2 linked regions of the Macaca mulatta genome follow. Each later gene encodes a partner of the first gene's protein in a complex. Links are inferred from orthologs where the notes say so. Each region holds a gene or a part of one and is shown in the gene's direction. Other genes may lie near its edges.

Region 1 (4,209 bases):
CGGATTAAAATATATAAGCTTTCGATAATACCATTGCATCCATTTTTCCTTTTGTTGCGAATCTGCTCTGTGAATATTTGCTTTGAAACAAAGGGACCTCTCTTACGTGGAAACTTGCTTTTATTTGCAGTACTGCATTCTGTGGTGCCTAACTGGCACTTCTTAACCCGTTTGCCTGACAGTGCTAGCACTTAACTAAGAATGCAGTTTGAGAGAAACACTGTTTGGAAATACACTGCTTGTAGATGGATCATCGAGGACTAGGAAGAAGGCAGACATTGGAAGTTGATATAGAAATGTGCTAAATTAAGTAATTATATGTATACTCACACATAATACCTTTATGTTTTTTCTTTAAGAGAAAAACTGTAGTGACATAACGGTATAACCAGATATGTATAAACTTAAAAGGTTATTAAGGAATATTATAAGCTTTATGTGTTATGGATCTAATGGTACTATATTATAAGCAATTCAGTCTGTGTATTTAATGCATTGGTTTGTTTATGGACTAGATGGTATTAAGGAATTCACCAAAACTTTTTCGGGCCAGCCTACTAGATGAACATCAGTTTCATATGGAATTGTGTTCATCTGGGTTAAATTATCCTGTGGAGTCTTCCTTTGGAAGAGCCTACCCATGTAAGACTGAAGCGTTGTCACTGTCTCCTTAGAAACAAAAGTGGGCGTCATTGATATTTCAGAACTTTGTATTTGGTTTGCATTCACAGACCATCATGAAAGATAATCCTCTCACTGCGGGTACAGTTGGTCATCCTCCACTCAAATGTCTAACAGAATGTGGCCTCATAGCCTGCCCTGTGCAACTGGGTGTCAGCCACTCACTGGACTGCGGATGCCCACTGAGGCTAGAGACAGTGACTACCCGGGTCCTGGTGGTCAAATGATGAACCCCCTGGTTATTCATTTTCATTTGGGAGGGGCACTTGGCAGACCTATGGCCCATGCCATTCTGCAGGATTGAGTTTTTGGGAAACCCACCTTGCCTTGAGAATGGTCATCACCTTTTGGTTCCTTTGGTTGTGCTATGATGCATCAGTCTCGTGTGCTAACTCTGTGGCCTGCTTATCTGTTCCTCCTCCTGTGATCTGCAATTTAGCTCCTGGAAGAGAAAAGGAGATTACAGCTTCCCCAGACTACCTGGAGATAGCCATTTACTGCATAGGGGTCTTCTTAATCGCCTGTATGGTGGTAACAGTCATCCTGTGCCGAATGAAGAACACGACCAAGAAGCCAGACTTTAGCAGCCAGCCGGCTGTGCACAAGCTGACCAAGCGCATCCCCCTGCGGAGACAGGTAACAGAAAGTAGATAAAGAGTTTAAAGAAATTTACTCCTCCCCCATGACCCAGCCAGCTTGTGGATCTTTTGCTCTGTTTTGATGCCATCGACTTCTGTGAGCTTCCATGTGCGAGTGATTCTGGTGTGATGCTTGGCGGTCACCCAGTTAGTGTTTGGAGCTTGGAGAGTCTAGTCATAGTGCGTTGCTTGGATCAATGGGGTCCAGTTCCAAGGGCAAGAAAGGACAATAGTGTCAGAATCAGAAAACTAGCCGGGCGCGGTGGCTCAAGCCTGTAATCCCAGCACTTTGGGAGGCCAAGACGGGCGGACCACGAGGTCAGGAGATCGAGACCATCCTGGCTAACACGGTGAAAACCCGTCTCTACTAAAAAATACAAAAAAAACTAGCCGGGCGAGGTGGCGGGCGCCTGTAGACCCAGCTACTCGAAGGCTGAGGCAGGAGAATGGCGTAAACCCGGGAGGCGGAGCTTGCAGTGAGCTGAGATCCGGCCACTGCACTCCAGCCTGGGCGACAGAGCGAGACTCCGTCTCAAAAAAAAAAAAAAAAAAAAAAATCAGAAAACTAATTAGCAGGACTGGAAATAACTGGAGGCAAATACCCCTGTGTGTGTTTGATCAGACTCAAGTACAGCGGTCTCTCCGAAGCCTTAGCCACATTGGTCTCCTGTGATCTAATACCTTTTTTAAGATAAGCATGAACATTCGCTTGGGACTTATGCCACTAGTAGGAAAGAGACTCTAAGTTCTCTGACTTATTTTTTAAAGTCAAGATCAGAATCTTATGCCCTGGGGGTGCGTCTGGACTGTTTGATTTAAACTGGTGCACAATAACTTTCTACACTGAATTTTGGCTTAACCTCTTTGCAACTTACAATATAATTGTATGCATCTATTATGTCTCATTGTTAGTAGTTCACAGGTGTGGCGGTGATTTATTGGTAGAATATTTGTAAGGAACCAGCAACAGATTGTTTTTAACCCCCAACTTGGTCTTTGGTGGTTGCTTTTTGCTTGTGTGCCTCCTGATTGGTTTAGTTTTGCTCTGGGGGAGATGGGGCAAGATGGAGCCTCTGCTATAAACCAAAGCCCTGCATAGGTAGGTGGGACAGGAAATGCTTCAGCTGTTTTCTGTTTGTTCACAGAGATGGAAGCGGAAGGCAGATGTAGATGTAGAATGTTTACAAAAGCATTTGAAACTTGGTTGTGATAAAGGTTATTTTGAAATAGCAAGTAAAACAGCAAACTCATTGGCTGTATTTCAGTGTGTATTTTAGTAAAATTTACGGGGTACTTGTTAAAATTTCAGATTCCTTTGTCTCAGCCCCAGAGATTCTTGTTTAGTCATCTTGGATAGGGCCAGGAATCTGCATTTTATTACAAGCCCTCTGGTGATTTTAGAATGCACTTTGAGAAACTCCAGGTTAATCCCAGGCATGGCTCTCCAGGGACTTTAGGTAGGAATGACATTTTCTGGACAAGGCATTAGGAAGGATTAGGAACCAGTTGGTCAGCAGTGGTTTTGGCATGGGTCTGGCTGTTCACAACCCAGCTCCAGACTCCCGGCTGAATGGGTCCTTGTTAACTTCTCTGAAGCCATGTTGCAAGCAGGTCTGTCTTTGTGGAGGCGGAGGATAGAATTTAAAGTGTGTGTCAAGTGTAGGCGAATGACCAAATTGTGTTAAGAGCATGGAAAAAAGGGGCCTATTGGGTCACTTCTGCCACCAAGAACGCTGTTGTCATTTTGAGTGACATGATTATCTTTCTTGGGGCCAGGAGAGCAAAGATGGGGCCAGCTGGCCAGCCAGTTTCTAGGGGAGTCCAGTCCTGAGATAACTCTTACATGGTTTCTATTATTTTTTTTCTAATAGGGAAAAATGCTAACTTCTGGAGGCAGCTTGTAATTTGGCATAGCTAGGCCACTGCCCCGTAATTATCTCATCATCTTTTTTTCTGCAACTGTTACAATGCTTTTCTTTTTACTTAATATAAAAGGGTAAGATGCCCTTAAAATCCCCCTGACTCAGCCACAGTCATTGTGTTTTCTTTCCCCAGTGTCAGGTGGCTTTTCATCACTGTCCATCTAAGAATACGGTTTGAGGAAAATAATATTTGGAAATGCACTACTTGTAGATGGATCCTTGAGGACTAAGAAGAGGGCAGACATTGGAAGTTGACATAAGAATGTTCTAAATTAAGTAATTATATGTATACTCACATGCAATGCCATTTATATTTTTTCTTTAAGAGAATTCAGCCTGGCCGGGCGTGATGGCTCATGCTTGTAATCCCAGCACTTTGGGAGGCTGAGGCGGGTGGATCACCCAAGGTCATGAGTTCGAGATCATCCAGCCTGACTAGCATGGTGAAACCTCGTCTCTATTAAAAATTCACAAATTAGCTGGGTGTGGTTGTGCATGCCTGTAGTCCCAGCTACTTGGGAGGCTGAGGCGGGAGAATCGCTTGAACCCAGGAGGTGGAGGTTGCAGTGAGCCAAGATTACGCCATTGCACTCCAGCCTGGGCAACAAGAGTGAAACTCTGTCTTAAAAAAAAAAAAAAAAGAGAGAGAGAGGATTCAGCCTAAGTTGGTCCTTTTTCGTATCCTCCCTGTGTTACCAGAGGGAACATCAGAGTACCTTCCTCTTTTTCTTCCCTCCTTCCTTTTATTGATTCATCATAATTTACTAAGTGCTGGGTATAAACCAGGTTACATGTAAGACACAGCCTGTCACATTCACCGGTGGTTCCCAGGTTATTTGGTGGTAAATGCCTGTAATCCTAGCTCCACAGGAGGCTGAGGTGGGAGGATCCTTTGAATCCAGGAGTTCAAGACCAGTCTGAGCAACACAGCGAGACCCCAACTCCAAAAACCAAAACAAACAAACAAA
Region 2 (4,696 bases), about 20 Mb from region 1:
CGTCTCTCCATTGCTCAGTGTTTGCATTTATGGCTGGTAGTTGGAAAGATGGGGCACAGGGAAAGGTGGGACACAGAGGAGGGAGGGAGGCAGGGCCTGGCTGTGAGGCTGGACTAGGGCTGCTGCTAATTTTGGCCTAATGGCTTCCTGGGACCACACGAAACCCTCCAGCCCTACCCCCAGGGGAATGCAGGGTCAGTGGGGAAGGGAAGTTGTGGGCGAAGGCAGCAGCCTGGTAGGGCATCACCTGCTCCTCACAGGGCACCTGTCCCAGGTCATCTCTGCCCACCCAGGCTGCTCCCACAGAAGCAGCGTGGGGGCTCAGGGTTTCCCAAAATCTCAGTGGGGAAGCCACAAGGTGAGGGGCTAGGAAAGGCTTAGACAAGTGCCTACCTTCTCCCATGCCCCAGGCCCAGCTGACCAGCCCCTGCCTAGAATGCAGTAGGTGTGTAAATATCTGTGAAATGAAAAACAAATGGGGCTTTGAGGGGGAAAGGGCTGGGTGGCCTGGATGGAAGTCCCTTCCCCCAGGAAAAGCTACTGAGAACAGTTATTTTTGCCCCTGCTGCCTGCTGGGGTAGGGGGACAGTGGGTCCTGCCAGGGACCTCCGGACTCTCTCTTCCACACAGGTGGTTCGGGGTGCTCCTCAAGCTTCAGGCTAGTGTGTGTGTGTGGCGAGGGGCACAGGGGAAGGGGTGACGGTGATAATGCGGGGGAGGGGGAGGCATTTCTGGTTCCCAGTGCCTCCTTGGGAGACTGAACGAGACTGGAGAGACCAAAAGGACGGGGCACGCGGCAGAAACAGGGGAGTGGGGTCCGGGTGGCACCGGCACGCACTGCGCTAGGGCCGGGTGCGCAGCCATTCGCCGCACGGTTAGCGGCCGCTCCCAGGGGGCAGTCCTGGCGGGACACACAGTAGGTGGCTCGGAGACTGCTATGTAGCCGGCGGCAGGAGCTGCTGGGCCCCGAGGTGGAGACCCAGCCCCACCGGACTGGGGCGCGCCGGGCGGTCAGGGAATCCCTGGCCCGGGGTCTCCTGGCCCGCAGAGCCCGCAGCCCCAGGCGCCCCCATCCCCGCGCGCCCGGGCCCGGAGAGCGCGCGAGGGCACAGGCTGCGGATAGGGGGAGGCGCCCAGACCGGCCGCCCCCGCCCCTACCGCGGGTCCCCAGACCCCTCCCCTAGCCTAGACCCCCAATCCCGGACCCGTCGGCCGCCCCGCCCCGGCCGCCCCGCCCCCGCCCCGGGCTGCATCCAGGCCCCAGTTCCCAGCCGGGGGCTGCGGGCTCCCGCCGCCCGCCCCGCGCTCCCCCCTCGCGCCCGGTGCGGCGCCCCCCGCCCCCACCCCTCCCACCTCCCCACCCACCCCGCCAGCCCGTGACCCTCCCGCCCGCTCCGGCACCGGAGCAGCCAGCGGCCACCGGCTCCGGCAGCGGCGCACAGCGACTCGGTGCGGCTTGGCGAGCACGACATTCCACGGGACCCGCGGAGCCGCGTCGTGGTCGCCGCCGGCCTCCCGCACCCGCACCCTCTCCGCCCGCGCCCTGCTCCGTGCGTCCCCCCGCGGCCGCCCACGGGACGGCGTGACCCGCCGGGCTTTTGGTGCCCCGGGGCCGCGCGCCATGGGCAGCCCCCGCTCCGCGCTGAGCTGCCTGTGAGTACCGCGCCGCCCTGCCCCGCCGCCCGCCCGCCGCGCCCCTCGCCTCACCCGCGCCTCTCTCTCCCGCCCGCTTTTGTCTCCCACAGGCTGTTGCACTTGCTGGTCCTCTGCCTCCAAGCCCAGGTGAGGAGGGATGCGCGGAGAAGGGGGCCGGGCGGGCCGGCTGGAGACCCGGGTGGGCAGCGCCGGTCGGGGGCACTGGGACTGACTCTGCGGCCGGCGCCGGAGGGCTGAGGGCACTTTAGAAACCCAGCCCCGAGCCAGCCTGAGGAGGAAGCTGAGGCACAGAGAGGTAGCACCCCGCCAGAGGTCACACAGCGAGTGAGTTGCCAGGATAGAAGCGAAAGTCTCGGAGCCCAGCACTGTCCCCCATGTATCCTCGCCGGCTGGGGGCACAGGGAACACTCAGCCGCCGAGGAAGGGGGCAGCCGGGGCCAGGAGATGGATGTTCGATGCCAGGGGAAGCCGGGTGACTACAGCAGAGATCCTCTCCACGCCCCTCGGGGGAGGCTTGTGGCCGGTTTGGCCCAACGATCGGGTGCCCAGGTCCCCTGCACTCTCAACATTTGCTCCGTAAATTTGTCTTTATAAATGTCAGGGGTCGGGGAGCGCTGTCTCCCTACTTAAAAGCGCCCTGCTCCTCTAGGAAGGCCCGGGCGGGGGCCCTGCGCTGGGCAGGGAGCTCGCTTCCCTGTTCCGGGCTGGCCGGGAGCCCCAGGGTGTCTCCCAACAGGTGGGTCCAGCTTTTCCCTGGGGCTTGTTTATCCTGGGCTGGGTCTGCCCGATTTGCCTGGGTGGGGGATGGTGGCCTGGGCTGGCATGTTGGGGGAAACCCCAGCACCTGCTGGTGGCTTCGGGCAGTGAGGGGGACGCAGGGTGATGGGGCCACTCGGGCCCCTGGGCGGAGTAGCATTATAATGGCGTATTGTGTATTTTTCAATTTCCTAAAGGTAACTGTTCAGTCCTCACCTAATTTTACACAGCATGTGAGGGAGCAGAGCCTGGTGACGGATCAGCTCAGCCGCCGCCTCATCCGGACCTACCAGCTCTACAGCCGCACCAGCGGGAAGCACGTGCAGGTCCTGGCCAACAAGCGCATCAACGCCATGGCAGAGGACGGCGACCCCTTCGGTAAGGCGCGCTGAAGGTAGCTTGTGGGATGAGCGGCGCCTGCACCGCCAGTCCCAACTGCACTGACAGGGGGCCTGCAGGGTCCCCAGCTCAGAAGGGAAGGAGTTAAGGCAGAAAGGTGTCTTGAGGGTCAGCTGGGGAAGAGAGGGCTAGGGAAGGGACCTCGGGGAATACTTGGCCACAGGTGCCCCCTTCCCTGCCCAGCAAATGAAAGAATCTAGGAATCTCCCTTTACACGCCCCCACCTCATACACCCCTCCCCAGCTGCAGGTGGAGGCAGGGGGTTCAGGGGGAGGGGGCCTAGGTTTAAGGGAAGCGCTTGAAAGAGGATATGTCGCCAGGGCCCACAAAAGGAGAGTGGGAAAGAGAAGGGAGAGAAATCCCCTCAACTCTCCCAGTTGGAAAAGGGGTTTGCTGGGAACCTTTAAATACTTTGATCAGAAGGGTCAATTACAGGTGGAAACTGGGCTTGGAAGGGGCTCTCCCTGCTTCACTCCCCAGGGAACCCAGGCGGCTGGGGCAGGGCTCCCGGCTCCCTGTGGGGTGGCCAGTACGGAGAGCTACTGCCGGCAGAGAAGCTGAGGACTGATTGATTTCTAAAACATTCAATATTCCTGCCTTGAAACGGGGCCAATTTCCAGAGTCCTGTACCAAGAGAAAAGCAAACCCTCTGGGCGGCTGGTGTTGTTTTTAGAGAGCGATTATTGTGAGTTTAAAAACCTTTAAATAATGACCACGTTAAACAAGCATGAAAGGAGAGGGGAAGACTCTATTAAAATGTAATAAAAAGGTGAGGCATTTTAAGAGCTAAGAAGAAAAATGAAGAATGATATAAAACAGAAAAAGAACGAGCTTTTTTTCAGATGTGGAGTTTGAAAGGAGTTGCAAGTCTGTAAATGTTAAAAAAGAGGTTCAAGATTGTTCTCTCTGAATCTCTGGAGAGACCCCCGCGTCTGGCAGAGCGATTAAAACTCTTCTTACTTTCACCTTTTTTAACATTTCCTGAATACTTTCTCCTCTTCTTGAGCCAGTTTGGGGGATCGAGTATGTCTCGCTGCATTTTTTCTGCATCGACGTAGCTGACTTCCCTTCAAAGCTGGAGGAGGAGACATAATTTTCCTGGGATAAATCTGTCACTGGGGTGGAAGAATAGGTTTGAAAATGTTAAGCTTTCCAAAAGCCCGGTCGGTGGAGCTGCCGTAAACTGCAGCCCCAGCTCTCCAGATCCGAGCAGATTCAACCGACCTGGGAGAGAGGGGGCTCTCTGGGGTGGGGGTGGGGGCAGCCTGCCTGGTGGCCGAGCCCCCCTGCTGGGCTGGCAGAGCAGGCCTACCGTCCCTTTGTCCCTCCAAATTGGCTGCTTGCTGCCCTTCTCAGCTTCTAAGGAGAGGAGACGAAGGCCTGGCTCTTCCAGAGTTTGCTCTATCAGAGCAAATGGCCCAGCATCCTTGGATTTTGGGGAGAAAGCAGAAGCCAAGCTGATGTGGGGGAATTCATCTTCAGACATCAGAGGAAGTCTGATGCCCACTTCTCTCCTTGGCCATCTAAGAGGTTTCCCACCTTCCCTAGTCCCTGCCCCACAGCAGGATAGGAGCTGGGGGCCTAAGAACAGAGGCTCAGGGTATTCAGCCAGGACTGGAGGAGTCTGGGGAGAATAGCAGAGAGGTCTCAATGGCTTCTTTATCCGCCCCAGGAAGATGCAGAGGCACCTACTTCATCCCTGCCTGCTGCATCTGGCCAGAGTCCGCAGAGTGGCATCCTCTCACTCATCTAGTCAGCATCCTTCCTGGCCCTTAAAAACAGCTGCCTCTTGCTGTGGAAGGCAGAGCAGGAAAGGGATGAGCAGACTGGCTAGGTCCAGGAGGAGGTGGGCGGGCAGGGAGGTGACAGCTGCATTTCCCTGCTG

The links.
Region 2: the proteins of FGFR2 (region 1) and FGF8 are in contact, whole or in part, in a crystal structure (PDB 2FDB), measured with the Homo sapiens proteins. The link is inferred for Macaca mulatta from reciprocal best matches to the Homo sapiens genes FGFR2 and FGF8. Residues at the interface, in NP_000132.3 of Homo sapiens: Glu160, Lys161, Glu163, Lys164, Leu166, His167, Ala168, Val169, Pro170, Asn173, Asp247, Val249, Arg251, Ser252, Ser282, Asp283, Ala284, Gln285, Pro286, His287, Ile288, Gln289, Ile291, His293, Leu309, Val311, Leu312, Lys313, Ala314, Ala315; in NP_149354.1 of Homo sapiens: His53, Val54, Gln57, Asp62, Leu64, Ser65, Arg66, Leu68, Ile69, Arg70, Tyr72, Tyr75, Arg77, Gly80, His82, Val106, Glu107, Thr108, Thr110, Phe111, Gly112, Ser113, Val115, Thr148, Glu149, Ile150, Val151, Leu152, Glu153, Asn154.

What each region holds. Positions count from the first base shown.
Region 1 is NC_133414.1:133,602,432-133,606,640, reverse strand, and holds part of FGFR2 (fibroblast growth factor receptor 2), read left to right. Parts: intron 1-1,120; coding exon 1,121-1,317; intron 1,318-4,209. UniProt on the Homo sapiens protein: Tyrosine-protein kinase that acts as a cell-surface receptor for fibroblast growth factors and plays an essential role in the regulation of cell proliferation, differentiation, migration and apoptosis, and in the regulation of embryonic development.
Region 2 is NC_133414.1:113,856,546-113,861,241, reverse strand, and holds the start of FGF8 (fibroblast growth factor 8), read left to right. Parts: upstream 1-1,407; 5' UTR 1,408-1,621; coding exon 1,622-1,653; intron 1,654-1,745; coding exon 1,746-1,782; intron 1,783-2,305; coding exon 2,306-2,392; intron 2,393-2,609; coding exon 2,610-2,790; intron 2,791-4,696. UniProt on the Homo sapiens protein: Plays an important role in the regulation of embryonic development, cell proliferation, cell differentiation and cell migration. Required for normal brain, eye, ear and limb development during embryogenesis.